Notamacropus eugenii: one gene and its partners. The protein of the gene in region 1 purifies or fractionates together with the protein of each later gene. This does not show direct contact. Links are inferred from orthologs where the notes say so. Each region holds a gene or a part of one and is shown in the gene's direction. Other genes may lie near its edges. The genes, in order: SKP1, FBXO38, PTAR1 and MTUS1.

What was found.
Region 2: the proteins of SKP1 (region 1) and FBXO38 purify together in Homo sapiens (affinity purification with mass spectrometry; 6 studies listed by BioGRID and IntAct, with this or other methods). This does not show direct contact. The link is inferred for Notamacropus eugenii from reciprocal best matches to the Homo sapiens genes SKP1 and FBXO38.
Region 3: the proteins of SKP1 (region 1) and PTAR1 purify together in Homo sapiens (co-immunoprecipitation; 3 studies listed by BioGRID and IntAct, with this or other methods). This does not show direct contact. The link is inferred for Notamacropus eugenii from reciprocal best matches to the Homo sapiens genes SKP1 and PTAR1.
Region 4: the proteins of SKP1 (region 1) and MTUS1 purify together in Homo sapiens (affinity purification with mass spectrometry; 3 studies listed by BioGRID and IntAct, with this or other methods). This does not show direct contact. The link is inferred for Notamacropus eugenii from reciprocal best matches to the Homo sapiens genes SKP1 and MTUS1.

What each region holds. Positions count from the first base shown.
Region 1 is NC_092872.1:341,052,026-341,059,371, forward strand, and holds the start of SKP1 (S-phase kinase-associated protein 1), read left to right. Parts: upstream 1-4,342; 5' UTR 4,343-4,713; intron 4,714-7,346. UniProt on the Homo sapiens protein: Essential component of the SCF (SKP1-CUL1-F-box protein) ubiquitin ligase complex, which mediates the ubiquitination of proteins involved in cell cycle progression, signal transduction and transcription.
Region 2 is NC_092872.1:410,104,234-410,111,746, reverse strand, and holds the start of FBXO38 (F-box only protein 38), read left to right. Parts: upstream 1-4,497; 5' UTR 4,498-4,587; intron 4,588-4,686; 5' UTR 4,687-4,776; intron 4,777-5,340; 5' UTR 5,341-5,426; intron 5,427-7,513. UniProt on the Homo sapiens protein: Substrate recognition component of a SCF (SKP1-CUL1-F-box protein) E3 ubiquitin-protein ligase complex which mediates the ubiquitination and subsequent proteasomal degradation of PDCD1/PD-1, thereby regulating T-cells-mediated immunity.
Region 3 is NC_092872.1:103,139,129-103,146,736, reverse strand, and holds the start of PTAR1 (protein prenyltransferase alpha subunit repeat-containing protein 1), read left to right. Parts: upstream 1-4,588; 5' UTR 4,589-4,915; coding exon 4,916-5,001; intron 5,002-7,608.
Region 4 is NC_092878.1:168,562,026-168,569,249, forward strand, and holds the start of MTUS1 (microtubule-associated tumor suppressor 1), read left to right. Parts: upstream 1-4,221; 5' UTR 4,222-4,415; intron 4,416-7,224. UniProt on the Homo sapiens protein: Cooperates with AGTR2 to inhibit ERK2 activation and cell proliferation. May be required for AGTR2 cell surface expression. Together with PTPN6, induces UBE2V2 expression upon angiotensin-II stimulation.

The sequences.
Region 1 (7,346 bases):
TGTGCTCTGAACAGGGTATGTTGGGACTATCACCTCCCTTGTTCTGGATGCTCAATGCAGCCTAAGAGCAAATGAGTTTGGTTTTTTTGCTGTCTTGTCACACTTGATCCATATTGAGTTTGTAAACCACCCAAAGCTCCCAGATTTTCTTTTCAGATGAACTGCTATCCAGCCATACCTCCCTAATATTGCATTAGTGATGATTTTTTTAACAGCCAAGTGTAATACATCAGTAAGCATTTATTAAACACCTACTATGTACTAGACCCTGTGCATTGGGGTCAAAAGTGAAACAGTTCTTACTCCTGAATTTACATTCTAATGGGATGAGACAAAGCACATATGTAAGTATATACAAAATTAGTATAAGAATATAATAGTTTAAACTTCATCTCATTAGATTTGGCCCAACATATATAGATCATGTGTCCATATTTGTCCTTATTGTCTCCCCTGTTGGATTTTGAGCTCCTTGAAGGCAGGGACTGTCTTTTGCCTCTTTTTGTCTCCCCCAGGCTTAGCATGGTGGCAGAGCTAGCACACAGTAGATGCTTAATAAGTTTATCGACTATTCTTGCAGATTTGTTTGACCTACAAGTTTGATAAGCATACCAATTGTTGAAGTCATTGATGAAAATGTGATGGTAGCTTCATTGATTAATCAAGCTCTTTCTGTTGAGAAATAGGCATGTGTAGGATGATATCCCTACACATGTTGATAAATGGTTCTTTGGGGTCCTCCAGAAAAGAAATGCAAAGGCTTCCCTCAAACTTTATTTCCTATTCAATTGAAGGTGAATTGAATCTGGCACCATCTGGTGGCTGAAATTGGGAACAGCAGAAGGGGAGAGAGTGAGCCTCCATGGCCCTACCAGGCCAAGGCCTGCAAATGGAGCCCCTGGATGTGGCTAAAAAAAAAAAAACAAACCAAAACCAAAAAACCCCACCAAATCTTTCCAGTTCCTCACTAAAAACAATCCTTACCTGCACCTCAAGGGCAGAAAGGCCAAGATATATTCAGAAGCTAAAATAGAAGTAATTATAGATTTTCAATTTGAGTTGGACTAGGTCTAAGGGACCCTTCCATACCTGAACAATCAGGTAATATTATAGTTGGGGCAAGATGATGCAGTGGATGGACTGCTGGCCCAGGAGTCAGGAAGACTCATCTCTCTGGCCTCAGACACTCACTAGCTGTGTGACCTTGGGTAAGTCACCTAATCCTGTTTGTCTCAGTTTCTTCATCTGTGAAATGAGCTGGAGAAGGAAATGGCATGCCACTCCAGTATCTTTGCCAAGAAAACCCCAAATGGGGTCATGAAGAGTCACACATGACTGAACAACAACAAAAAAAATATGAGAGCCTATGAGATAATGAGATATATGTATGGATGTAGATGTATCTAGCCATCTCTATAGATAGACTTATCTGTAGAGATGGCTAGATACATCTAAGTCTATAAGATACATTCTAGCCTGTAAGATATATATGCTATAACCTGTAATATATATAAGTACATATCTATATATCTTATAGGATATATATCTGTATAAAATTTATAGCATATATATCTCTCATAGGCTAGAATGTCATGTTATTTATGTGATATGTTATACAGGCTATAATGTTACTATTATTGTGTATGTGTGTGTATATATACATATACATACATACATAAGCACAGAGCTGAAGTGAGGAGTGTTGCAGGCTCTGACGCTGGAAGAAGTGCAGTGCTTTGACATCCCACATGTTCCCACAAAACCTGCTAGGGCAGTTATGAGTGATGAAGCTATGAAAAAGAGCTGGGCCAGTATGAATTGCACTGCCCCACTTCTCTACCTCCCCTCCCCCCACTGATCTGGGACCCAGCTGGGGGATCTTTGGGCAGGGAGAATATAAAGTTCAAGCTACCACTCTGGCCCGAGTTTTTAGACTTCAGGGAACTTCTTTGCTTATTACTTTTTGTCTCCTTGCCTGGAACTTTTTGCCTTCCTGTGAGCAGAGTTTTAATGGTCTTGGAGACTGGGGCGGGGGGGAGGGCGCGTAATGTGTTTTTTATTAGTGAGATAGTTTATTTTGAACCTCTAGCTTTAAGTGATCCATTTTATCAGTTGTGGAACCATGGACTAAGACTAACCAGGAGAAAGGAAATTTTATAGAGGCTTCCCATTTTACTTTTATTTTGAACCTAAACAGAAACAGAGGCAGGGAGGGGGAAAGAGAGAGTGAGAGAACATTTCCATATACACAGAAGAACACAAAAGAGGATTCTACTTGCAACCATCAATCTCTATTTCATACTGCTTGCTTATCAAATATATATATGTATACATACATATATTGTGTGTATGTATGTGTGTGCATACACACACATACACACACACACATATGTTCTACCCAAACTATCCACCTTCTTTGTCCTTCTAAACTTCTAGATGGTGTAGTGGTTAGAATGCTGGTCCTGGAGTTAGGAAAAGAGTTCAAATCTAGCCTTAGACACTCACTGTTTTACTCTGGGCAAGTAATTTAATCTCTGCCTCAGTTTTCTCAATTGTAAAAGGAGGATAATAACGTAAAGGTAACCTACCTCAAAAGATTGTTGTGAGGATCAAATGAAGTAATATGTTTGTAAAAGTACTTAGCATAGTGCCTGGCACACAGTAGGTGCTTATAAATGACCTCTCCTTCCCTTCTAACTCACCCTCCTCAATTAAAAAGCAACAGGAAAAAAGATACTTATAACAAGTAAGCATAGTCAAACAAAATTAATCTGCACAGCAGTCATCCAAAAATATGTCTCTGTACCTTTTGTCTATCGCTTCTATATCAGGTGGTGGGTAGCATGCTTCTTCATACGTCTTTTAGAGACATGACCAGTCATTGCACTGATCAAAGTTCTTAAGACTCAACGTTCTCAAAGACCTGAGTTTCTCATGTGAAAAAATGACACCTACTGTGGACAACTTTTCCAAGGAGTTTGCTACTACAGTGGGCAGAAGAGATATAGCAGTAGCATAGATGGAAGATCAATTGAGGATTTTTTTCAGGATAGAAGAGACATGAGCAGTAGGAAATGAACCACTAGAGAGGGAGAGACTGAAGACTAGATTCAGTTTTAAGAGTAAGTAAAGGTTCTAAATGGCTTTGTATTTTTGGTTTAGGAAGCCTATGCAAAGCCACAGAGATGGGAGACACAAGAGTCAATGGTAAGGCAAATTTGGTTAAAGTTGGGTACATATATATACATATATATGTATACATATATATATAAATAATAGCTGTTGCGGTTTTACTAAAAAGGGGGGAGGGACATGGTTATCTGTGCTTTAAGAAAATCACTTTGACAACTATGTGGAAAGTAGATGGATTTGAGGCATGACTGTTTACTGGACAGTCCAGGCAAGATGTGAAGGACCTGAACTAAAGAGGACAGGTGAATAGAGCAAAGGAGGGGCAGAATAGGAGAGATATTATGGAAATAGAATCGACAAGACTTGACAACTGATTGGATATATGTGATAAGGGGGAGTGAGAAGTTGATAAATAAGTTGTTGCAAACTTGAATGAATAAAGGATGGTGGCACCCCAGGCCTGGCTGACTGGAAAGGCAGTGATGTGATGCCCTCCAAAGAAAAAAGTGTAGCCCAGAAGAATTTTGGGGGGGAAAGAGAGAAATCGTTGGAAGTTATGAGTTCAAACCTCATTTTACAGAACAGGAAACTGAGGCCCAGGAAGTGACCTGTTCAGCTTTGCATAGGGTGGTGCAAAAATCTGAACTCCAGCACTAAAATGACAACTCTACCGCCCCACAGCTTCCTTCCTCTAACCATGTCCAGTTTGAGGCCCTTGGGGGGGCGCTCAGTTGGGGGTGTCTAATAGGTAACTTAAGTATATGGAAAGGGCATCAGCACAGAAATGATCATTAGATTTCAAGGCAGCTGATGAGGTCACCGAGTAAGAAAATAGAAAAGGGCAGGAACAGTTTGGCTTTCCTTAGCTGTCAAATGAGGATAATGTTTTCTGAATTATCAGGATTATTTTGAGGAAAGCACGTTGTAAAATAAAGGTTTTCTGTCCAAAAATGTAAACTATCAGAGAAATCGGGGGTTCTTTAATTTTCCTGTTTCTCCACCCATCTCCCAAGAAGTTAAATTCCTTAAAATGACCTGCAGCTGTCCTTCACTGGGTCCCTCACTGGCTCTCTGGCTATTCAGAGATAAGCAGGAGCTGCTCGTCCCCCACAAAGACCCACGGTGTAGACTCCATGAACTTCCCCAGCTCCAGAGCATTCTGCTGAAGACAGCCTCTGCCTGAAGGACCCCGCCCCCAGGCTGCAGGAGCTTCAACGAGCCAGCCTGCCTGTGCCTCCAGGCCTGCCCCTCTCAGGACGGGTGGAAATGACAAAAGCTCCTCCGAGAGTGCCAGAAGAGAGGAGGCTAGAGAAGGCCCCTTTCGGTGGGTGTGTGCTCGTTCCCCTGTCAGGCAATGTCCTCGGACATCCCAGCGTGCTCTGTGACGTCACCAGGCCTGGGGTCCTTGGCTCCACTCTGTCCGCCCTTATAAAGGCCGCCACCACTGGCGCTGCTTCTGTAGTGGTCTTGGTGCTCCGCGCTGCTTCGGGGCCTTCCCTCCCCTCATCGCCTGTCCCTTAGCCCACCGGGTCTTCTCGGCTCCGCCAGCTTGCCCGCCGGGGTCCCCGGGCATCCGGAACCGTAAGTGGTCTCGGCACTGGGGAAGGCAGGGTGGAGGAGGAGCCGCGGGGCGCGGCCCCGTTGTTGCTGTGTGGCGGCGGCCTAGGCCTCGCCCGCTCCCTTCGGAGCTCGCCAGCCCCCCATCCCCTGCCCGTTCTCTCGGCGTTTCCGGCCGCCAGAGCAGGCGGGAGCCCTGACCCTGTTCCCCTCCCTTGTTCCAGGCCGCTCGAGCTCCGACGTTAGCTTCACACGCCACAGGCCGTCCCGCTTCTAGGCGCCTTGACTCGGTCAGCCTGTATACCTGCCGCCGGGGTCCCCCGAGGCCCGCGCCCCGTTCACGGCCCCTCTCCGGCCCCCCGTAGTCTGCCTGCCTCCCTGCCCGCTCCCACGGGGAGCCTGAACTACTTTTCAGCTTCGCCCAGCGTGCGACCCTCGGCCCTCCCCCCTTCCCCAGGGTCGTCTGCACCTCCCTCGCCGGCTCCTTCCGAGCCCGAGCTAGTTCTCCTCAATGATGGGGCACCTCCTGTGCTCCCCTTGCCATAAGGGTCTACCTTTATACCCCTCTCGCGGGGGTCTTCAGCAGATTTGTTGTGGGTAGTCGGAGCTGGGTAATCCGGCCCAGTCCTTAGAAGGGGGGGGGCCCTTATTCCCGTTCTGTTGAAGCCCCAGACTTCCTTATTCACCTGCTGTGCAGGGGGAGGGTCTCGGTTTTTCCTCTTGTAAAATTGGTCCGGTCGGTAGGAGCGCCCTGGATTGTAAAGGCATTTGTGCGTTTTGTTTGTTCGCTCTGCTGCGAACGCTGGGTAAACAACATGACTGCGCTATCTCGGGAGCCACCTGCCAGCCGCCCCGGCCTGCCCGCGACGGGAGAGTGGTCGTTGTCCTAGGCGGAGTGTGGCTTCGGAGGGCCGGGAGGCCGCGGCTGCAGGAGAGCCCGGGCCGGGGCCGGGGCCGGGGCCGGGGGGCGGGCGGCGTGGATTGTTGGCGAGGCGCGTTCAAGCCCCGGAGCTGCTGGACCCTAGAGCTCCCTCCGAGGACAGTGGGGTAGGAGCCAGCTCTGCAGTGCATTAAAAATACGGCCTTCCTGATCTGTGGCAAAAGAAGCAAGTGGAAAGGATCCCTTCTGCATGGCAAGACTTGAGGGGAAAAAAGACACTTTCCGTGTTCCTGGAGGCAAAATGTTTCTGCTTTTTTCATGAACGTTTTCAGTAAGCCTCATGGACAGGATTTGTCGTAAATCATTTTGCAGTTTAAGTTGGAAGCGTTAGAAATATTAAGACCTCAGACATTTATAAATGTACTTCATCTTAGTAATAGAAATGCATACCCATTTAATCAGGAAGGGAATAAATATAACCAATAGTATTCATAGATTTTAGGAACTCAGATTTGTAGTCGTTAACGTTTAGGTGGCTACTTTTCAGAAGATTCACTTCTCTGGAAATAGGGCTTTTGGGGGGAGGGGAGTGCAGCGTTGTGTGGAGCTGTTTCCAGGGCTGATGACTAAATTTCTTTGAATTCTGGATTAACATCCCTTCAGTGCTATTTAAGATCTTAAAGATTCCAGAGTAACCAGATAGGTCTGAAGTTTGTGACCAAGCAAATTTGTTAATGACTTTTTTGATCTTGGATGAATGAGGGAACTTAACATTCTAATAAAATGTCAGGCTTATTGTAGTCCATGACATCTTAGCCAAAAAACTCTTAATGTCACTTGTGTGTATGCATTATGCAAGCTAATATTTTAAAGCCTCTAGATTTATCTGCCTTTTGGGCAGGCAGCTTATTCTAAAATAGCCTTATTTAACCAATGGAGTCTCTGTAATTTTGAAGTTGTTGGTATTTGTAAATCTGCTGCAGTGGAACTGGCCTCAGTTCCATGGGCAGGGCTGGTTTCAAGTTAGTTTGGTGGTATGGTATGATAAGAGGATAAGCTTTGGTACGTTGAATTCAAACTTCTGCTTTTATGTCCAGGAATGAAATCTTTTCAAAATTTGCATTTTTTTCTACACAAATATTTTGATATATTGCTGTTTTCCTGCTACTTAAAAAAAAATTTTCACTGCAATAACATTTGATGTAGAGGAACTGTGGGTCATCAATTCCCATCTTTCATTTTCAGCTCCCAACATTCAATTTTAAGGCTTACTTTCACCATATTTGAATCAGCTGTAACATTTTTTCCAGCTGTAAAACGTGCAGTACATTTAATAAAGTCTATAGCATACATTTTAAATTTTACAGATCATTTTCATTTAATGTAAAACTTCATAGATGCTTTAAAATATTTTTTTCTAATCTTAAAGCTAGAATCTTTTTCAGAGAATGAATCCCAGAGTAATTCTTGGATAAATAAACCTTGTGTAAAAGTAGGCAGAACCAACACGTACACACAGTAATGTAAAAGGTAATACTGAAGTGCATTTAACTGATATTAACTTAGTGAACATCTTGTGTGCAAGGCATTTGCAACGAGTAAACCAGTGTAACTGGATTGTACTGGAGTGAGGAAAATAACTCAGGAAGTAGGAAAGGGTCAAGTTATGAAGAACTTTTAAGATGTCAAACTGAGGATTTAATTTGTTCATGGGAGTTAATAGGGAGCTACTGAATTTAATTGGGGATTGGTTTGGGAAGGAGGTAGTTGATATGTT
Region 2 (7,513 bases), about 69 Mb from region 1:
TGTGTATGAGGGAATATCAGCATAAATGCTGAATGCTCCTGATATAGAGATAGGAGTTGGGGAAGGGAGGAAGACAGTGATTCAGGTGTGAAATTCCTTGGGAATAGAGGGAGAATGAACAGATGACCAGTACACAATAGCCACCTTGATCTATGTACCATGAAAGATTTTAATAGAATGAACTTTAAATGAGAAGTTGGGTAAAGGTGGCAAAGGGAAATTCTGGAAGAGGTCATAGAGGTCAAGCAATATCAAGGATGCAGTGACATGTGGGAGAAGCCAAGTCAGTGAGTTGAAGGAATGGGAGAATAGATACAGATGTAAAGGAAGTTTGTTCCTATAAAATTTAAATTCAGAAGAGATGTTAGAGGTTGCATTTTACATATGAGAAAACAGGTCTAGTGAGCTGAAGTGACTTGTACAAGGTCATATGAGTGGTAAGTTGTTGAGGGCTAGGATGGAGTATGGTGGCAAGTTCAGGATAGAACTTCGGGGAAAACCTGTTCTCTGAGACTGTGCTCATTATCATCCAGAATTGCTCTCCAAGCCTCCCTGGATGTGTTGTCTCCATGAGATAAACAAGAGAACTACAGAATACAACGGATATGTAAAACAGACAATGCCCTTTAGGTTAACATTCTTTAAGACAATAAGACTGGCCAAATTACTAGGACAGGAGATGAGTAGATTGTCATGTAGACTTGCAGTTTCTGTCTTTAAATACCCTGACCCTCGGATCAACAAATGGAGTTGCCCTATCTTCTCTTGCCTGCCCATGTGTCTTTCTTCTTCACTGCTTTCACTGAGCCATGTGGGGATGCCAGCAGTCCCCCACAGTAAGTAACAAAGCTGGGAGTTCATTCGTTAATTCAATAAATATACATAGATCTCAAAATATGAAAGTATAGAAACAGTACTGGATTTGGAAATAGATGACAGAATATCAGATCTAGAAAAGAAACCCATTTATCTAAGCCAATAGCAAAAAGAAATCAGAGAAAGTGAAAAAAATGATTATTTCTCTCTTATATTAATAACCATTTATTAATTGAGATGAACATTTTCCCTTTTCTATTTCCTCATTAAGAAATCTGCCCCTTGTAGGGTTATTCAAGTAGAATTTGAAGGACATCTCTTATGGATGAGATTACTGAAATCCTTCAGGTACATGCTTTTTGATTGGTTGGACTCCACCTAACTAGGAGACCTTACAAACAGAATACAGTGTAAACAAGATCTTACCTTTAGGAAATAAGCCCCTGTCCATCCTTGGGACCTTCCATTAGAATTTTGGGTGACCTAACAAATGAAGGGGTTGAAGATGGATTCTTTTGCCCATATTGCTGGAAGCAGCTGAATTCCCCACACTCTCTGCAGGGGGAGCTGAAGACTTTTTGCTTACTTCCTCATTAATATGTTTACCCCCTAATTGTTAACCAGTCTGAGTTGATTTCCACCCTCAGGTACATTACCTTTTCCAAAGGCTTCTTAAGCATTCAGAGGCCCCCAAGATGCTTCTTTGGTTTATGAAAATGAAATGACCATCCTTTTATTCACTAGCCATATTTAATAAAATTATTAATTACCCTGAAACTGAGTCTCTTGAACTTTTCATTTGTCACAAAAGTAGGTGTGTTCGACCTTCGCTGCTGAAGGCCATGCCATCAGGGAAATAATGACATGGTTTGCACTTGGCTTTGTTTTTTCTTGAGTGAAGGAGGGCTGTGCAGGTCACCAGCCTCACTTCTCCTCCAGAGCCATCTGAATCCAGTGACCAGATATTCACCAGGATGACTAGATATGACCTAGGATGAGGCAATTGGGGTGAAGTGACTTACCCAAGGTCACACAGCTAGGGAGTGTCAAGTGTCTGAGGTGAGATTTGAACTCAGGTCCTCTTGACTCCTGCACTGGTGCTCTATCCACTGTGCCACCTAGCTGCCCTGTCACAAAAGTAGCCATATATGGAGATATACTATTGACTTGGATAAACGGAATTCTTTGTTATTTGTTATAAGTTCATTGTGAAATTGGTCTTTGGTGGGAAAGGGGTTCATCTGTGAATATAAAGCTTGGGGCCTTTTTAAGAATTCCTCTTTAAGAAATGGCTATCAGATGGTTAGCATGAACCTAAAATTTATATACCCTAAAAAATTATATTTAAGGGATCAGATAGATATAATTTTATCCCAGTCGCCTCTCTCTCTGAGCAGAGCAGAGTGCTTCCCTGCTTCTTAATTCCTGCTTCCCCTGTAGAACGAATACAATATTCATAGCGCCTAAGCAGCCATGAGTATCCCAGGGCAATTCTGAATCACAAAATACCACAGACTCTCCACATGGAAGGCAGAACCAAAACATTTATTCAGATACTTGAAAGTCAAATCCATCATAGTAACAAAAATCTATACACAATAACAATGCAGAGAACAACATCATCCCCAAGCTTTCCCCCGCTAGGCATTTTTCATCATGAATTTTCTGGAATTATCTTGGAGCAATGCCTTCATCGGAGTAGGTAAATTAATTATCCTGTTGCTGTTCCTTTGTGTGATATTCTCCTGGTTTTGTTCACTTCACTTTGCTTCAATGTATATGTCTTCCCAGGTTTTTCTGAAACCATCTTGCTTGTCACTTTTTATAGTGCAATAATATTCCATCACAATCATATACCACAGCTTGTTTGACCACTCCCTTATTGATGGGCACCCCTCTGATTTCTAATTCTTTCCCATCATAAAAAGAGCTGCATCTTTTTGTACAAATACATTAATTTCCCTTTTTCTATGATCACTTTGAGATACAAACCTAGTAGTGATATTGGTGAGTCAAAGAGTATGCAGTTTTAGAGCTCTCTGGACTAAACTGTAAATTCTACATCGTTCTCCAGAATGGTTGAACTGGTTCACCACTCCACTAACCATGCATTATTGTTCCAATTTTTCCACATCCCCTCCACCATCTGTCATTTTCCTTTTCTATTATGTTGTCCAATCTGATAGGTGTGAGGTAGTATATGTTACTTTAATTTGCATTTTCCTCATCAATAGTGATTTAGAGTATTTTTTCACATGACTATTGATAGCTTTGATTTATTCTTCTGAAAACTGCCTGTTCAAGTTCTTTGACCATTTATCAATTGGTGAATAGCTCTTATTTTTATAAGTTTGCTTCAGTTTCCTATATCTTTGAGAAATGAGGATTTCTCATCATAGAAACATGCTGTAAAAACTTTTCCCTAGTTTCCTGTTTTCCTTCAAACTCTCTATTCTCAAAGTCATCCACAATACAACCAGGAATATGGTGATCTTCTGCTTAAGAACCTGAGGCATACAAATTCAAAGTCATTTATAAATTCAGAGAATAGAGTTATTGTGTATGGAGTAATTCAGAGAAATAAAAGCAGTGTGCCCAATAAATCATTGAGCATTTATAAGGCAGGAAAAAACAGTAGAAGAGAAATCAGTGGATCTGGGTTCAAATCACAATCCTGTTATTGACTAGTCTGACCTTAGGCAAGGCAAATCACACTTGAATATATCAACCAATGAGTATTTATTAATCATCTAAGAATGAAACAATTCCTACTCATAGGTTTACTCTCCAAGTAGGGAGTGGGGTAGATGAAATCTAAGGCTCTTTCTAGGTATAGATCCTGTGAAAATTTCACAGAATTAGGGGGGAAATTTTGGTTGCCATATTTTAGAAAATATATAGAAAAGGTTTAGCACGCAAGAATACTGGTGAGGGGATGTACCATAGAAAGACTTTTAAACAATTTTAATTGTCCTCAAGTGCAATGAGTTGCCTCCAGAGGGAACGGGTTTACAAAATCAAGGGATTTAGAAACAAAGGGGAACTTGGTATTTATCTAGTCCAATTCTCTCCTTTTACTGATGGGGAAACTGAGGCCCAGGGGAGAAGATGGTCTGAGCTAGAACAAAGGATATCCCAGGTCCTTCCTCAACCTACGTTGAGGCTTCCATGAAGGTCTCTGTCGCACTGACAAAATCCTGCGCTTTTTTCAATGGCTGGCACACAGCTGGAGCTTAATAAATGTTGACTGATTAAAGAAATCACAGGACACAGCTGAAAGGGCCTTATAGTTCCTGAAGTCCACCCCCTCATTTTAGGGAGGAGAAGAAGGAAATGATGGGACAAGCACTCACGTCTCGATCGGTCTCCTTAGAAGGGTTCTTTTTCATCACCTCGGGTCGATTCCATCTATGCCAAGTCGTTCTCCGTTTTACAGGTGCGGAAAACTGAGGCTCAATGAGGGAAGGTGCCCCCGCCAAAGTGTCACAGTGTGTCAGCAGCTGGCCCAGTAGGGCACCCCAAGGCTACCCCACACTAATTTCCTTTCCCCGACAATTTAACGCCCACATCCACCACACACAACATGGTGTTTTCGGCTTATCCTCACGGCGCCACTCCTAACATGGCACCCCACGCAATTTTGCCCCGGAAGTGGTCCTGGGCAGCGACGGAAAAGGAAGCGGCGCGGCGGCGGAGCCGGAAGTGCTTGCCGGGGTTCTCCCTCCCTCCCCCTTCCCGAGCCACAATAACAGACAGGAGGCCGCCGGGCAGGTGAGGCACCGGCCAAACCTCGGGAGGCTCCGGGTCCGGACGGGGCGCGGCGGCTGCGCCCCTCCTGAGCCCGTGTCTCCTCTTGTGTCTCCCTCACAGACGCAGCCGCAGCCTCGGAGCCGGAACATGGTCCTCCCGCGGGCCCAGCCCCGCGCAGCCTCCGCCGCAGCCTCGGCCTCCGGGCGCCCGGTAATGGGGGAGGGGGAGCCCCGCTGTCACGGCCGCGAGACGCAGGAGAAAGGGGGAGGGGGCGCACGGGGGTGTCCGGGACCCGCCGGGGGCGGGGGCGCAGGAGAGCGAGGGTGGGAGCAGGGCACGGACAGGGTGGAGGAGCAGGCGGGGATGGGGGCGGTGGACGGTGGGAGCCGGACACCTGGCTGGGAAGAGGGGGGATGGGGAGAAGCGAGAAGGACGCAGAGCCGGGGCGGGGGCCGCCGAGGGGTGCCCTGTGGCTGGAGTAGAGAAGGAGGGCAGGAAGGGAGGGGAAGCGCTGAGACCAAGCCGAGTAAAGTATGAGCCCATGAATCGGGGGCTTGAGGAAATCTTGGGGAAACGTGTTCTGCCTGAGATGAAAAAAGAAATACGTCATTCCATCTTTATGGGAAATATCGCAAGCCCCTTCCCTGGCATGGAGCAGAGTTTGGGCAAGGGTGGAGTCGGTGGTCCTAAAGGTTTCTTGTAGGACTGATTTTCCATGGGCTTCTCTGCTCACCCTGACAGTTTGACTTGTTGAAACTTGAACCTTCCTTCAAGGTCCAGTTCAAATGCCACCTCCTGCTAACCTTCCATGAGTTTTCATTGTGAGACAGAAGCCATATCTTTACCTTTCAATTCCCAAGGTAACTCGGAGGTACCATTCTTCTAGTTGTTATATTGTAAATTATTTTGTAGTTATTTCTGTCTTGATCTCTTCCACTAGATATTAGCTTCATAGGCAGGGACTCTTATTTTATCTTTATCTCCTGAAGAGTCTTTTATTAATATTAACAATTACTGCTGTTTGTATAATGCTTGACCATTTACGGCTCTATGTATGAGCTTTAGAAGCCTACAACTTCAAGGGAACTTAGTTATCCCTTTTCCTTTTAAAAATATAAGGTAGGATATCCTCATTTCATTTAAATTGTAAAATTGAACGTGGGTGTGTTTCAGGGTGTGGGAGTGTGTTTTATAGGTTGTATAGAATGATTTTAGTGGAATTGATTTTGAGCTGATTGACATTGTAATATACTGGACAAAGAGACAAATTAAATAACCAATAGACAAGATGATTTGATTGAGCCTTTTTAAAAGAGAATTTACTGAAGAGATCAGGGAGCTAAATGGAGAATTATAAGTCCAACCCTTTATTAATCTTAATAATAACCTCCCTGACAAATGGTTGCTCATCTGCCCTCTGCTTGAAACTCTCCAGAGGTGGTGAATCCTCACCTCTCCAAGATAATTCATAACACTTCTGTGTTATTCTAATTGTTAGGAGGGTCTCATATTAAGCTCTAAGCTGCCATCATGTGATTTCTACTCGCTGGTTTTACTCTTTTGTATGCAGGCAGTATTTTTCTAATCCCTTTTTCAGTTGAAAGATATAGTAATAGGCTTTGTCCATTGATATGGGAAGAGACAAAGAGTTAAGTATCAGGCACCTGAAATTTCCAAGTTCACTACTTGAACTGTATGTTTGGTTGCTTCTAAATTTTGAAATATTTGTGCTGGTATAAGGTAATCAAACCTGAGGAATTGTCGTCATGTGAAAGAGGGAGTATTGAATTGAGGAAGTTGAGAATGGAAGATATTAAGGTAAGAATATGCCTCTGTCTGATCTGGGAAATCTTAGAAATCTCAGGATGCAGAAAACATTAAGGAAGGAGGAAGTGTTCTTACCACAGAAGTTGAGGGTTGAACTGGTAGAGTGAAAAAGGTAGAGGATCTAGGCTTGAATTCCTAGCTCTGATACTTTAAGCATGGCTAAGTCACTTGTCTTCTCTGGGCCTCATTTGTCCATTGTAAAATAAGGAGGTTATACTAGTTAATCTTTTGGCACTAAATCCTATTACCTTATAAGCTCTTTGCAGAATGAAAGAGAATTAGGAGAAATGCCAGGCAGAACAACCTAACGTAGTTGTGAATAAAGTGCTTTGTAAGCCATGAAGAGCTATATGAATATGAGCATTTATTATTAATTTTAAATTTTACAAGACAGGAGAATGTGAGTAGGTGAGAGATAATCTGAACTGTGGTAGGGGAGATAGATAATCTGGACATTTAATCATTAAACAATATAGTTAGTATGGGCTTTGGAACAATAGAATAAAAAAAATTTGAAATAGCAGGGAATGATTTGTTTTTCCAAGCTCAATAGAATACGAGAACTCCAGTTTTCAAAGGAAGCAAGAATAAAAATTATGTTTTAGAAGAGTCTTGTTTCATGTTTTATGATTAAGTGGGAAGCAAGACAGGTTACCATTAGAAGAGACCTAAAATGTGGTTATTACATCATCCCAGAAGTAGTACTGCTAAGCCGAATTTTCTTGAACAGCAAATTTTCCCCTTTTTGAAAACTGAAACTCTATTTGTCCATCTCCACAACTTGTCTATGGGGTACCTCTTCATTCAATCATAATTTCTTTCAGTACTTAAGGGCTAGAATTTATCTAGGCCTAATGACTTGAACATATTGAAGAATGCTAGATGCTAACTTAGCATCTCTTTCTAAAGGGCTTAAAAGACTGGAAGGAAGATTTAGAGGTCATGCCGAGGGTGAAGAGAAAGGTTTAAGAGTATGGTGGTATGGGTAAATTGGAAGAATGGGAGATTCTGATTAGAGAGCAGACTAACGTGTTCAGGGAGAAGTTGTACGGATGAACAGCAATAGTCAGGATATTAGCATTTATATGTATGAATGTTGATAGCTTCAAGAGTGATGGAG
Region 3 (7,608 bases), about 240 Mb from region 1:
TTACAATAAATTATTAAATTTAAGATGCATCATTTAAAAAATTATATTTTCTTGAAATGACACCAATTAAAAAAAAACTCCAAAACTGTTAAAGGGTTAAAGAAAGCAGATTTTGGGGGGAGAGTGCTAAGTAATTTTTTTTTTTTTAAGGAGGCAATTGGTCAAATAAGTTTGGGAACCTTCTGTGTATTATAAAAGGCTGAGGTCAGTCTTCCTTTTTCAAGCCCTTCCTCATTCCATGGAGGAATTTACGACCAAACAGGAGATAGAGAACATCATGAAATGCAAAATGGATAACTTTGATTACATCAAATTGAAAAGTTTTACACAAACAAAGCCAATGCAACCAAGATTAGGAGGGAAGCACAAAACTGGGAAAGAATTTTTGCAACTAGTGTCTGTGATAAAGGTCTCATTTCCAAAACACATAGAGAACTGAGTCAAATGTATAAGAATATAAGCCATTCCTCAATTGATAAATGGTCAAAGGATATAAACAGGTAGTTTTCAGAGGAAGAAATTAAAGCTATCTATAGTTACATGAAAAAAATGCTCTAAATCACTATTGATTAGAGAGATGCAAATCAAAACAACTCTGAGTTACCATATCACACCTATCAGACTGGTTAACATGACAAAACAAGAAAATGATAAATGTTGGAGAAGCTGTGGGAGAGTTGGAACACTAATTCATTATTGTTGGAACTGTGAGTTGATCAAATCATTCTGGAGAGCAATTTGGAAATATGCCCAAAGGCTTATAAAACTGTGCATATCCTTTGACCCTGCAATACCTCTTTTAGGGCTATATCCCAAAGAGATCTTAAAAATGGGAAAAGGACCCACATGTACAAAAATATTTATAGCAGCTCTTTTTGTGGTGACTAAGAACTGGAAATTGAGGGGATGCCCATTAATTGCGGAATGGCTGAACAAGTTGTGATATGAACGTAATGGAAAACTATCGTGCTATAAGAAATGATGAACAGGGAGACTTCAGAAAAACCTGTAAAGACTTATATGAACTGAAGCTGAGTGAAACGAGCAAAGCCAGGAGAACACAGTAATAGCCACAGTGTTAGAGGACTGTTTTTGATAGACTTAGCCCTTCACAGCAATGTAAGGATCTAAAACATTTCCAAAGGACTCATGATGCAAAATGCCATCAACATCCAGAGAAAGAACTATGGAGTTGGAATAAAGAATGAAGCATACTGTTTTCTCCTTGGTTATGTTTTGTTTTCTTTCTCATAGTTTCTCTCATTCATTTTAATTCTTCTATGTGACAAGACTAATGTGAAAGTGTGTTTAATAGGAATGCATGTGTAGAACCTATATAAGATTGCATGGGGAGGGGGAGAAAATTTGGAACTTGTGGAAATGATTTTTGAAAACAGAAAACAAATTAATAAGCATGGAAAAAATGTCTTTCCCCATTCTGGTACATTTTCCACAAACTGATCTTTTGAAAGCACAGGTGGCTTCCTACCTCCAGTATCAAATACAAAATACTCTGGTTTTAAAGTGATTTATAACTTGGTCCTCTCTTGCCTTTCCAGTCTTCTTAAACTTTACTTGCCCCACAAACTCAGCAATCCAGTGACACTGGACACTTGACTGCATTTTTACTGACCTAGAACTGTCCTTCCTCGTTTCTGCCTCCTGCCTACCTTCAAGTCTTAGCTAAAGACCCGTCTTCAAAAAGCTTTTCACAGTCCTTAATCTTAGTACTTTCTCTCTGAGATTATCTCCAATTAATCCTGTCTATATCTTATTTGTAAAGAGTTGATTCCACGTTGTCTTCCTCATTAGACTATGAACATCTTAAGAGCAGGAACTGGTGGGGTTTGGGGGGTTTTTTGGTTGCCTTCCTTTGTCTCCTCAGTGCAAGGCAGATTGTAGGCACGTCTTGCTTACTGATAGACCTGGTAAAGGGAGAGAAAGGACTGACATATAAAATTTAGAGTTGGAAGAGAACTTGGATGTCATGTGCCACCACTTATTACACATGAGGAAACTGAGGTCCAAAGAGAGGCCTAAAGTTACTTGTCCAAAATCACTGATATTAAGTGGTAGAAATGGGTTTGGAAGTCAGGATTTGTTACTCTACACCCAGCATTTTTTCTACTGTATCATACTGTCTCTCTCAAGAGTGAACCTAATTGACAATACCTGCTTCATCAGATAGCAGGATGAAAATATTAATAATAATATGCCTGATTGAAAACAAACTTGTGACACGAAAGTCTACACGTTACTTTTCTTTAGGGCACTCTATGTTCTGAGCACGATATCTTACTTTGTTATTACTCTAACTTGGAATTCCATTTCCAGTCTTTGTCCCTTTGCTTAGGCTGTTCCCCTCCATACCTGGGATAACACCCTCTTTACCTGCCTCTTAGAATCCCTAGTCTAGCTCATGTGCCACCTCCTAGGGAAAATCTTTTCTAATTTCCTTAGTTTTCATAATAAAATAAATATAAAAGCCTCAACCTACATCTCAATTATCACTCATATAGGTGTCAAATTCCCAGTAGAACAAAATCCCTTTAAGGGAATGGGCTATTTTTTCTTTTTTTCTAGCACTTAGCACAGGTCCTTGGAAGATAGCAGACACTTAATGTTTGTTGGGTTTGACCGAGAAACATTTTAGAATGTTAGATTATTTGCCTATATCAAATTATAGGTAGAGTGGCTTTTTTTCCTCCCTCTTTCAATGTAGAAGCGAGAAAACAACTTCTAAGATATGCTATATGATTTTTCTTCTGCATTTGGAATATGAATCTGCTCACAAAAATTCACTTCAAACTTGAACCTCATGGATATTTTCATTGTGCAGAAGGCATTTCTAAAGTTGGGTTTCCATAACTCAGTAATCAATCAATCGATATTATTCAATAAGCATTTATTAAGCACCTATTCTGTGTCAGGTGCTGTGCAAAGCACTGGGACACTAATGTCTTTTTAACTGGGCACCATCTGATTCCAAATTATTCATCTCAATAAGGTGAATGAAGTTATCACTGTCAGCCCCTCAAAAAAGACTGCCACAACGTACAGTGAAGCCACAAAATAACGTCACCAACCACAGCTAAAAAAGAAACTCAACCACAGCCCTGGTTACCTTACCTCCTTTCCTTCCCAAAGTAGGGAAAAGGAGCAAAATATTTTCAACATCTTAGGGACCAACTCTTCAACTTTGTGATTGCTTGTAAACATTTCCCCTTTATCCTTGCACGGATAAGGATGCTAAGCTTTAGGGGTAAAGACAACACTTCAATAAGTACAAAGGTGATTAGGATTCCACATGGAGGAAGCCACAGGGGAGGGCTAAAAGCATCTATAGATTATCTGAACCTCAAATTCCCCAGTGAAAGGTGGCCCTGAAATCAAACAAGCACACAAGGAGTTGATAAACAAACGTTTATTAAACCCCTAAAATAACAGTATCATTTATACAGTGCTTTAAAAGTTTCTAGTACCCTAAATTGAGACCCAATCATGTTTTATCTCATTTTATCCTCAAATCAACCCTGGGGTAGTGTGTGTATAGGTGCTATCATTACCCCCAAACTTACCTGAAAGAAAACCGGAGGCACACAGACCCTTAAGTGATTTGCCCAGGGTCACAGAGCTATTAATGTTTCTCTTTTACTCAGGAACTCTGGGTCTTTCCCTCCCAGTTTACTGGCTACATTTGTTGCTCAAAGATCAAACCTTAAACCCAGTTCACTCTAGAGCTCCTAGACTGGACAAGTCCCCACCACCTAGCACAGAGTGAATGTAATTACTAAATAGTAATTGTTTCTCTTTTACCCAGGAACCCGAGGGTCTTCCCCTGCTAGTTTGATTTTTTTTTTTTTAAATTACAGCGCCATCCTTTGAGTCATTTAAAGAAGCCTATTCATTGAATGGGTCACTCAAAGGGTCTCCCAGCGCATCCTGGGTCATCTCCAGTCCTCCTGATGAATTTGGGCCGTTGGACCCAAATGGCTGTGGAGGAGAAGTGAGGCTGGTGCCCTGCACAGCCCTCCCTCCCTCCAATCAAAGTCAACTGCAAGTCAAGTCATCATCCTGACATCACAGTCCTCTTAGAGAACCAAGGACAAACACAACTCAAAAACCCAACACCCTACCCTCAAGAGCTTACATTCCAGGACCTGTAAGCCACCGGACAGCCAGGAGAACAAAAGCTGCTTATCTGCTGACCTGGCCAAAAATACTGAGCTTCTTCCCCGTGGGGCTTAAAAAACCAAAAGGGATGACGTGGTTAAAAGGATTGTGCAAACCTTAGGAGAGAAAACACGGGCACGCTCCCCAGGCGGCCCCGGGAAGCTCCGCGAGGCAGGAGGATGCAAATATGGGGGGAGCGCGAAGCAAAAGGCGGGGGAGGGAAGGCAGGAAAAGAGACAATGAAGAAGGCGGGCAGCCGGCGACGGAGCAGGGGACCCTCGTCCTCACCCTCGCCCCTCAGGGGAGCGCGAGCCCAGGAAGTGTTCCCCGGCTCCTATCCCTTTAACGGGCGCCTCGCCCGGGGACGCCCCGGCGTCGGGTCGGCCTCGTGCGCACAGGCGCACGTGAAGGGGGAGGGGGGAAGCCGCGAGCCCCGCCATTTTCAACGCTCCAACACCTCCCCCTCCCCTCCCCGTGGGCTGACCCGGAAGCGCTCCTGCCCTCCTCCGAGGCCCGGCGGAGAAAGACGCGGGCGCGCGCGCGCACGCACGCACACATATACACACACACACGCACACACACACATATATACACACACGCGCACACACACATACACACACTGGGACACGGAACCCTCTACCCTCCTCTCCGCCCCCGGGAACATCCAGCAGTCAGCCTCCCGACTTACTTTCTGCAGCTACCGCTGCCCCCCTATCCCCCCAATTTTTTTTTAATAAAAAAAATGGCAGAGTCTACGGAGGAGGTGGCGGTGCTGGTGCAGCGGGTGGTGAAGGACATCAACAACGCCTTCAAGAGGAATCCTCACATGTGAGTTGGCCCCAACTCGGGGGAGGGGATGGACGCACGGACGGACGGACGGATGGTCGGACTGATGGACGGAGCTCGGAGGACAAGCGCCGGCCTCTTAGCCCTACTCCGATCAAGGAGCCTCCAGCGACCGCTATCTGCCCCGGAGGACACGAGGCCGGCCTCTCCCCTCCCTTCCTTCCTCCTCTCTCCCTCCTCTTCCCCTCTCTCGTCCTCCTTTCCCTCCTTCCTTCTCGTCCTCTTCCATCTTTTCTTCCTTCCCTTACCCCTTTCTTTCCCTCCTTTTCTAATGCTTCCTTCCTCTTCTTCCTCCTCTTTCTCTGCCCCCTCCCCCTTTCCTCCTCTAGTGTCAGTTAAGGTCCAAAAGGTGATCTCGACCTTAAAACGAAGGGGTTTCTCCTTCGTTTTTCTCTACCATCATCCCTCCTCCCCTCCCCCCATCCCAAACAAGTTACATTTTTCTTTTCCTTTGCTACTTTGTTTCAGGGCTCTCCTCTGAACCCTCGAGCCTAGGCCGGGAGGGGACAGATCCAGAGCTGCCAGGGACCTCCGGGGCTGGCTAGTCCAACTCCCTCCTTTGACAAATAGGGAGAGCGGAATTGCAAGTGAAGGGACTTGCTCAGGGACCTCGGAACCCTTGCTCCAGGCAGCACATCTCACTGCCTTCTTACTCTCATTTTACTAATGAAGAAACTGAGGCTCAGACAGGTTAATTGAGCAGCCAGCCCAAGGTCACAGCTACTCAGATTTTCTGATTTCAAGACCACTTGTTCTTTCTACTGTATTGAGATAGAAACTAACCATTAAAGGAGGAATTCCCTCTACCAGTTACAGATCTGCATCTGCCCTGCAGTGGAGAGTCTTAGATAGTTGCCCAGGGCACTGGGAAGTTAAGTCACTTGTGCAGGATCTCCCAGCTATTAAATTCTTCTTGAATTACAGGTTCCTGGCTTGGGAGGCCTGTTCTCTGTTCATTATGCTGTGCTGTCCCTCTTATGTGGGTATTGCCTATTTAAAAAAAAGTATTTTAAGGTTTTCAAAGCTTAGAAGGGCTATAGTGAGGAGTGGAGAATTTTTTAACTGCCCTGCCCTGTTGAAAGGTTCTGGATTTTTGCCTTTTCCATGTCACTTGACTCTGGTCAAGACAATTATAAAATACATAAGAACGGTTTGGGCACCCCATAAAGGAAGATTTGGGGGGGGGGTGGATATAGGTGCTGATAATCTCAAGTACCTGCTGAATCTATTAGGTATAGGATGAGGATTGGGGTAAAGCAAACCAAACTTTAATACTGCTCTATCTGTGTCATAATCATCACCCACACTATATGGGACTCTTTATTTTTGTTCCAGCCTCATTACCTACTTAAGTTTAACACAGCAGAGATGATTTCCCTTTTTTGGATAAAATGTGGACTAATCACCTGTTTAGATCAAGGTATAACAGAAATGTAGTTCAGAACAAACTTCAGCAGTCATCTAGTTCACACAGTTTTATAGAGGAGGAAATCAGATATCAGGGACTTGCCCAAGATCAGAGGCAAAATTTGAACCCAGGCCCTCTTCTTCCAAAGGTAATGCCTTTTCCACTGTAACATTCTAACTGTGCTCCTCTATTGTACACACGATATCAAGGGTGAGGAGGTCACTCCAGCATGATGGGAATAGGGAAAGACACTGGGAATATAATTTTTTTAAAAAAAATGACACAGACCTTGCCTGCTCTCAAGAAATTTATAGTCTCTTTGTGGGTTAGGATATTTATACAGATAAATTTCATAAAAGGTAGAGTGGGGACAAAGGAGGGAACCAGACAAAATGTTCTCTTCTTCTACTTCTCTCCCCACCATCCCAGCTGTCTTTTGGCTCTTCAAAATTAAAGTAGTCAGACGGATGTCTAGGAGTAACCATAGCAATTACTGAGTCCTAAAATTGGGAGTTTCATTAAACTCACAAATAACTGAAGGAGAGAAGGGAACATTTTCTCACAGTATTAAATGTATGTTTTCTTTGATGAAATAGCAGGAGGTAAAAGCAAGTCAGTCGTCCAGCCACCTTTTCAGGTTGCTCTAAATTCTTTACAGGCTTGTGAGGTGGACTGAGATGACATCACTTGGTAGGGCAAGTCTAGATTTATTAAAACAAGCACAAGTCAGTAGATGTGGTGTACTCCCCTTAGGAAAGTTTTAATTGTAAAACTTCCTTAATTTTAAACCTATTAGCTCAAACTTCTTGATAATTTAGAAGTAGAATAAGGAAAATAGACTGTGTGTTTTAAAATAAATGCCAACTTGTTTGAGATGCATTCTTAAGGAATAACATAATTTAGGTTTATTGTGACCTTTGATTCTTTTAACTAATATTATTTTATAATAAGTATTAAATTTTCATTTATATCATCTCCAGCACTAAACTATTCCTGTAAATTTGGACTTTTCAGTAATTCATATAAAACTGCTAGATTCTCTTATTTCAAATAAATGCTTTTAAATTTATAAGTAAATGTAAATAAAGGGTGAATGCTTTCTTTGAAAGCTGTCTTTGTATTTTTATTACAAAAAATTTTTCTGACCTTTATCTTTTCCTTCTGTAATTTTCCTATACCCA
Region 4 (7,224 bases), on another chromosome or scaffold:
CAGCCCAGTAACATGTACAAGCAATTAAAGGAATAAAGTTTCTCATGACTGACTGCTTTGGTTCCAAATGTGGTGGGCATGATAACAAATAGCTGCCATCCTTCCGAGCAGAAGGAAAGAGGGAGTGGATGGATAAAAGAGAAGCAGCAGTCCTCCCAGGGATGGAGAGGTGGGGGATGAAAGGGACTGTGAACAACACCACTTCTAGGGCTGTATCCCAAAGAGATCATACAAATGGGAAAAGGACCCACATGTACAAAAGCATTTCTAGCAGCTCTCTTAGTGGTGGCCAAGATCTGGAAATCGAGGGGATGACCATAAATTGGGGAATGGCTGGACAAGTTGTGGTCTATGAATGCAATGGAATACTCTTGTGCTATAAGAAATAAACAGGAAGACTTCAGAAAAACCTGGAAAGACTTTGCTGAACTGATGTTGAGTGAAGTGAGCAGAACCAGAACACTCTACACAGTAACAGCCACAGTGTGCGAGAACCACCTTTGATAGACTTAGCTCTTCTCAGCAATGCTTGGATCTAAGACAACTCCAATGGAAAATGCTCTCCACATCCAGAGAAAGAACTATGGAGTCTGAATGCAGATGGAAGCAGACTATTTTTCTTTTTTTGTTTTGTTTCTTGTGGTTTTTCCCCTTTTGCTCTGATTCTTCTTCCACAAGACTAATGTGGAAATAGATTTAACATTGTACATGTATAACCTGTATGTCAGACTGCTTGCTGTCTTGGGAAGGGGGGTGGAGAGAGAGAGAGGGAGAAAAATTTGGAACTCACAATTTTACAAAAAGAAATGTCCAAACTATTTTCACATGTCATTGGGTTAAAAATACTATTAAGGAGAAAAAAGAAAGAAAAATAAATAAGTTAAAATCCCCAAGCCCGCCCAAACATTAAATTTCTGAAAATTGCATGCTCAATGAGCTTAAACGAAGATTAAGAAAAGAAAAACCAACTAATTAATAAGATAAAGAGGAATCAAATGGATAAATGAAGAAAACGGGCGGGGCTGCCCCTTGGCTTCCGCACGTTCTGGCCCCGATCGCTTCGCAGCCTCCATCTCGGTCCTACTATCCTGCACTCGTGTCCGCCGCGTCCTTCTCCACACTCAGACGCCTTCCAGAGAACAAAGGAGAAGATAAATATTTGATGACAGACAGACCGACATTCGGGATGGGAATAATGACCGCGGGAAGGCAGGCTCCGGATTCGGTTACGCCGGAGGATCGGGTGAATGGTAATTAGCCTAATGGAGAACCCCTGAAAGTCTCTGCCCTCGGAGAGGCTCCTCTCAAGAGCCTCCCATGGCTTGTTATAGAGACAACGTGCATCTGTCTGGGTTCAGGGGAGCTGGGTGCAAATCCACAGTCAATGGCTCAGTATTAGATTCCCAACATTCCCTCCTTGTGCCTGCCTCTCTGAAGGAGGAGCCTTGGGCATAGAAGAGCAAAGGGTACAAACATTGATTAAGCACCTACTGTGTACTAAGTTCAAGGTTAAGCACTTTACCTTTATTATCTCATTTGACCATCACAACAAACCTGGGAGGTGGATGCTATTATTATCCCCAGTTTACAGTTGAGGAAACTGAGTCAGACAGGCTAAGTGACTTGACCAGGGTCACACACCTGGTAAGTGTTGGAGGTTAGATTTGAACTGGGCATTTTCAACTCCATGCCTGGCACTCTGCCCACTCTGACACAGAGCTGCCTCTGGTTCAGTGCAGGGTATGAGAGCCAATTTGGGCCACATGAATGGACAACGTCCTTCCTACCAGACTTGGTTTACCTGGAAACAGTGGCCTGATCAACAAGTGCTTTTTGGTCTTGGCAGCTGAATCTCCAGGGAGGACTCCCCAAGAGGATGAATAAGGCTAAGGACAGTCATGCTCCGATTGGTCACAGGAGGGCTGCCCACAACTGGTTTTGGACATCCATTTACAACAAACATATCTCTTGTAGAGGAAGAGGAAAGCCTTCCTCTGCCACAGGCCTGTGGCCCAGCTGAGTCACCACTCTCAGAGGAGGATGATTTGATTGTTTTCTTTTGCCATAAAATGTCAAATGCCCCAGGCTGGCATTTCTGTAGAGGGTCTTTTGCTTGGCAAAGCGAGGGTGTGGCACTGGCCTCAGTTTCTCTGAGAGGGCCTTCCTGGCCTGTAGTCAGCTTGTTGACTGACTATGGAATGCTCCCCTGCTTGTTCAGGGGAGGGTGAGTGTGGCAGAGATCAGAGGCATGTTACAAGCGGGCAGCCTCCTGGGATTTGGCTCTCAAGAACGGCCCTGAGGCTGCCCCCACCTTTCAGGACAGCAGGCCTGCTGATTCTTTGCTCCCTTGTTGGTAGGGACCCTGTGTTCTCAGCCTTGAGAGGCCAAACCCTGGAGTCTCCAATCTAAGATTCACAGAGTGAGACTGGCCTGGCGTTGGGGGCACAGGGCAGCCTCCCCAGGTGTGTGCCAGGACAGTGCATTTGGAGCCTTGGAGAAGGGGGCTGGGAGGTGCTCACTGGGCATTGGCTCGCCATGGGATCCTCTTCCTCTGCCCCCCCTCACCCATGGGTGCTGGGGTCAGCCAGGCTGCACAATAGGATACTGTTATTCAACACCAGGTCCACAGACTACTGAGAAGTCTGGGGCCTGCCCTCAGGGGGTTCAGTCTGGTGAGGAGCAAGCCCCTAGCCTGGAGAACTTTGATGCCCAGGGTTACGCAATGCCTGGATGCCAGTGGGGCAGGGAGGTGCCAGAACGGATGCCAGGGGTGAATGAGTCAGACCTGTGGTGGGAAAGACTAATAACCACATGGCTATTTGTAACACTCATCTGTCAAAGGAAAACAATCGGGAGACTGGTGCATGTAACTCAATGGGATGCCTGACTCCTGGACCCTGGCTGGAAGACAGACAAAGCAAGGCCTCCTCTTCTGACATCCTGGGGCAAGTGCAAGGACCCCCTGCTCCAAGGGGGCTGATGGTACCTGGGAGACTAGGGGCCCTGGGTCTGGAGCTGGGGGTCCTGGTTGTACATGGTGTGCCTAAGCAGGGTCAATTTTGACAAGTCACTTCTGCCCATGGCCTCAGTTTCTCCACCTGTAAAAGGAGAGGGTGGCTGAGACCCTCCCCAGCTCTGGAGCTAGGATTGAATGGTCTTAGGTTTTACAGAGAGGGAAACTGAGACCTAGAGAGTGAAAGAGACTTGTCCAAGATCATCTAACTAGTAAGTGGATGCTAGCCCAGTGGGAAGATTGGTGGGTTTGGAGTCAAAGGCTCTGGGTTCAAATCCTACCTTTGCCATTTACTGCCAGCGTGACCTTGGGTGATTAGGTTCTCCTCCCTGATCCTGTTTCCTCATCTGGCTCTTTGAACTTCTGGTCTGACTCTCTAATTGTTGCCCCAGTGGGCATCATGTGGCTTCTGAGGTGCCCAGGTGAAGGTTCCTGGCAGCCCTCCCCCCTCAGTTTCAGCACTGCTTGCCCCCAGAAGGCATCCCGAGGGTGGGTGCCAGTACCGGGTGGCCAGGGGCCCCAGGGTTCCCTGCAGCTCCCAGCTCAGGGCTGGGCTTTTTCTCCTCTCCCCCACCCCGATGTGGATCTCTTGGAAAAAATGAAGTCAAACAGGTTCCCCAGCAGCACACACAATTGGCGGCTGTGACAGGCCAGGAGGGCTGGGTCCAATCCTCAGGGTTACCACTGGCCCTGCCCCTGGGCACCTTGCGCAGGCCGGGTCGGGCTGGCCCACGACGGGAGGGCTGGGTCAGTGTTACCTGAGGGTCAGGGACACGCGGAGCTGGCACTGGCCCTGCCCCTAGGCTCCTTGCGCAGGCCGGGCCAGGGTGGCCCACGACGGGAGGGCTGGGTCCCATGCTCAGGATTACCACTGGCCCTGCCCTTGGGCACCCTGCGCAGGCCAGGCCGGGGTGGCCCGGGAAGGAAGACAGAGAAGCCTCAGCCACGCTCCCGGCTTGGGACTCCCAAGGTCCAGCCCCGGCTGCTGGGTGACCTTGGGCCGGGCCCTGCCCGTCTCTGGGCCGCCGGGCTCCAGCCCCAGGCTGAGACCCCCACAAAACGCAGGGCCGGGGCTCGAGTCCGGCAGACGCAGCGATAGCGCTGGGGAAGGGCCCCAAGCACCGGGGGACACCAGGCTGGAGGACTGACCCTGAGAGGCGGGGCTTCGGGAGGAGGACCCGGGGGCGGGGCCGGGGCGGCCAGGGGATGGGGGCGGGGCGGCCGAGGCCGCTCAGGTGCGGACGGAGTGACCCCGGGCGTCGGAGTCAGCCCCTGGAGCGGCTGGACGCTTTGGGATCGGCGGCGGCGGCCAGCCGGGTCCTGGTGTCCGCTCTGGCTGAGCTCGGGGCCCCGGACTCTGGGGCTTTTGGACGGAGCGTCTGGCAGACCCGCGAGCCCCAAGGTACGGCCAGGGCCAGGGAGTGGAGGCGGGAGGCGAGTGGGGTGGGGAGGCCCGTGACTCCGTGGCTCTGTCTACGCTCAGGGCCGAGCCTGAGGACGCACTGCGGTTGTGGGTGCCCTGCCACGGGTTCCGTGCGTGGGAGTGTGTGCGCGCGTGTTGGGGGGAAGGGGGTGGGGAAGAAGAGGGGCACCTTCCCCGGGGCGCGTCGCCAAGGGGTAACCGGCCTGGCCACCCCCTCCGTGGAAGACCTTGGCTTACAGCTCTGCTCCCTCCCAACTTCGGTTTCCCCAGCTGTCCAAGGAGAGGCCCGGGCCAGCCCGTGCGCCTGCAGAGTCCCCATTTGCACGGGAGGACACCCATGCCCGGGAGTCCGTGGGCAAAGTGCCCACGAAGGAGGTGGGAGGGGGCGTCTCTGCTGCCCCGCTGACGCCTTGGGCTCCCCTGGTACCAACCCCGGAGGGGAGACCCCGAGTGTGGACCGGGCTAGGGAACCCATCATTAACTAGGAATCTGGGGTTCCGGGACCTAGTGGTTAAGCAGATGATCAGTTTCTCCAACCCACCCCTTCCCCTCCTGTATTGGGGGGAAGGGGCTAAGGGCCAGGCACAGCCCTTGAATTCAAAAGTTGTGACTGACCTCTGGCAGTCTGTGAGTGTGTGAATGGGGGTGGGAGTGGGCGAGGCACTGCCCCCAGCCTCAGTTTCGACATCTGCAGAATGAGAGCATTTCCCATTTGTATAGCAGCATCTTAGTGACCATGCTAATGCTTTCAGGGTCCCAGGGAGGGGCCTCCTCTTGGAGTCTATTATGATTCCCATTTTACAAAGGGGGACAGTGAGGCACACTGAGGCCAAGCAGCTCACCCAGGGTCCCCCATTCAGGAACAGCCTGAGGCGGAATTCTGGCCCCTGTCTGGCAGTCTCAAGTCCTTTGTCTTCCTCTCACCCCCACCCTCCTCGACTGCTTTCTGGATTCCCTTTAATAAAGAGAGAGGGAACCTGACTGTCCTATCCCATGAGTTCTGGGGAATGACTTTTATGCTTCCAGAATCTCCCTGTCAAGGAGAGTCTACTGCTAAGGGCCTCTGGGTGGCCAGAATCAGAATGCTGGACCTGAGTCAGGAAGCCCTGAGTTCAAATCCAGTCTCAGACCATCCTAGCTGTGGGACCTTGGACAGCGTCTCTCTGGTGATACAAGGTCCTCACCACCCCTCCCACCCATCCACCCATCCCCAGGCAGTGTGAGGATTTGGGAGGTGCTCTGCAAACCACAGGACCTGCCATACAATGCTAGCTACTGCTGATACTTCTAACCTCCATAGTTAAGTCTGGGAGAGCCCAGGACCCCGGCCTGGTGCCTGGAGAGCAGAGACCTGACATCCAGTTGTTCTTGTCCTGGATCTCCCTCCCCTCCCCCCCTCCCCGCCCCCTCCCGCTCAAGCCTGCAGGAGTGTGCGGGGTATCGCCTGAGACTTTGTTTGGAGCTTTTCCTAGCCTGGTGGGTAGAACACCCATTGATCATATAAACACACTGAGGCCCAGGGAATTGGGAAGGAATCCTCAGAGGCCGGAGAATGCTCCTTTCTTCTTGGCTTTTTGTAGCCACGAATGACTTTCTCCTTTTGACCCATTCTGGGACCAGAGCCCTGACTTGAAGCTAGAGGCAGATTTAGGGTGTGGCCTTTAAGACCTATCTAGAAACTGTACACCCTCCCCAGAACGGAGCCTCAGGGCTGGGTTTGCTTTGCTTTGGTGTTGGGTGGCAGTTGGACCAGGGCTGGCCTAAAGCTAACTTTTCCCTTTAGGAAGAAAAAACTCCTCAGATGTGAGATCTCCTTCAGGTGGTTGCTCTCTCCAGTGAAGCAGATCACCACCCAGTCCTGCCCTGCCCTTCCCCCCCAAGTGTTTGGTCCTCCCAGAAACCTTGGTAGACAGAAGACTGTGTGGGAAGCCCTGGAATTTGCAAGGGAGTCCTCCACATTGTGCCTTGTGTCACTCCCCTGTAACCTTGGCTTCCCCATCTCCATAGGTGACTGTCACCTCCAGGTGAGGCTCTCTGGAGGGCAGGGCCTTTGTTTTCATTCTTCTGACCACCCAGTGTTCTGGGGACCTTCCGGGAATGCTTTCCATTTTCATGGGAACATCGAGTACAGCCCAATGGCTTGTCCCTCCTTCCCTCTCTGACAGCCGGCCGGCCTTTACATGACTCACAGGAACACTGCCTTTTTTGGCCCCCAAAGTCCTAGCCTGATGTGGAGGAATTGGAGAGGTGGCCCCAAGGCCTCAAAGGCCACTCGAACTCTGCCGGGGCCTGGTAGGAGAGCAGAGGCTTTTGGAGTTGGCCTGAGCCTGCTGGACTTTGTCTCCCCCCCAGTGAGGAATGTGGTAGCTCCCGGCATCCCAGGGAAGCATGAGACCCTGATAAAGAAGATGTAAGGATGAAAGGACAAGCGGCCGCTTCATATCATCCTGAACCTAGCCTTTCTAGACTAATCCAGTCCCAAGAGCCACCCAGGCTGCCTCTCATTCCTCCAGCACTGTCGAGGGCTAGGGAAAGCCATGCTTTGGCTCTGAACCTCCATTAATCCAGCTGGCCCACAAGGCCCAAACCCACTCTGACGCACAGTAGGGATATTAGAGAGGCAGATGAAGGGGAAGTCCATGGATGACAAAGACAGGGGAGGAGCCATCCCACTGTCCTACTGGGAGTGATCTCAGGCCTGGAGCTGGCAGGGATGGCACAGGCCAACCCCTCCCCCCAGGGCTCCCCCCCAGCTTCCTCTCTGGGAGGTGAGTGGCTCCTCTCAACC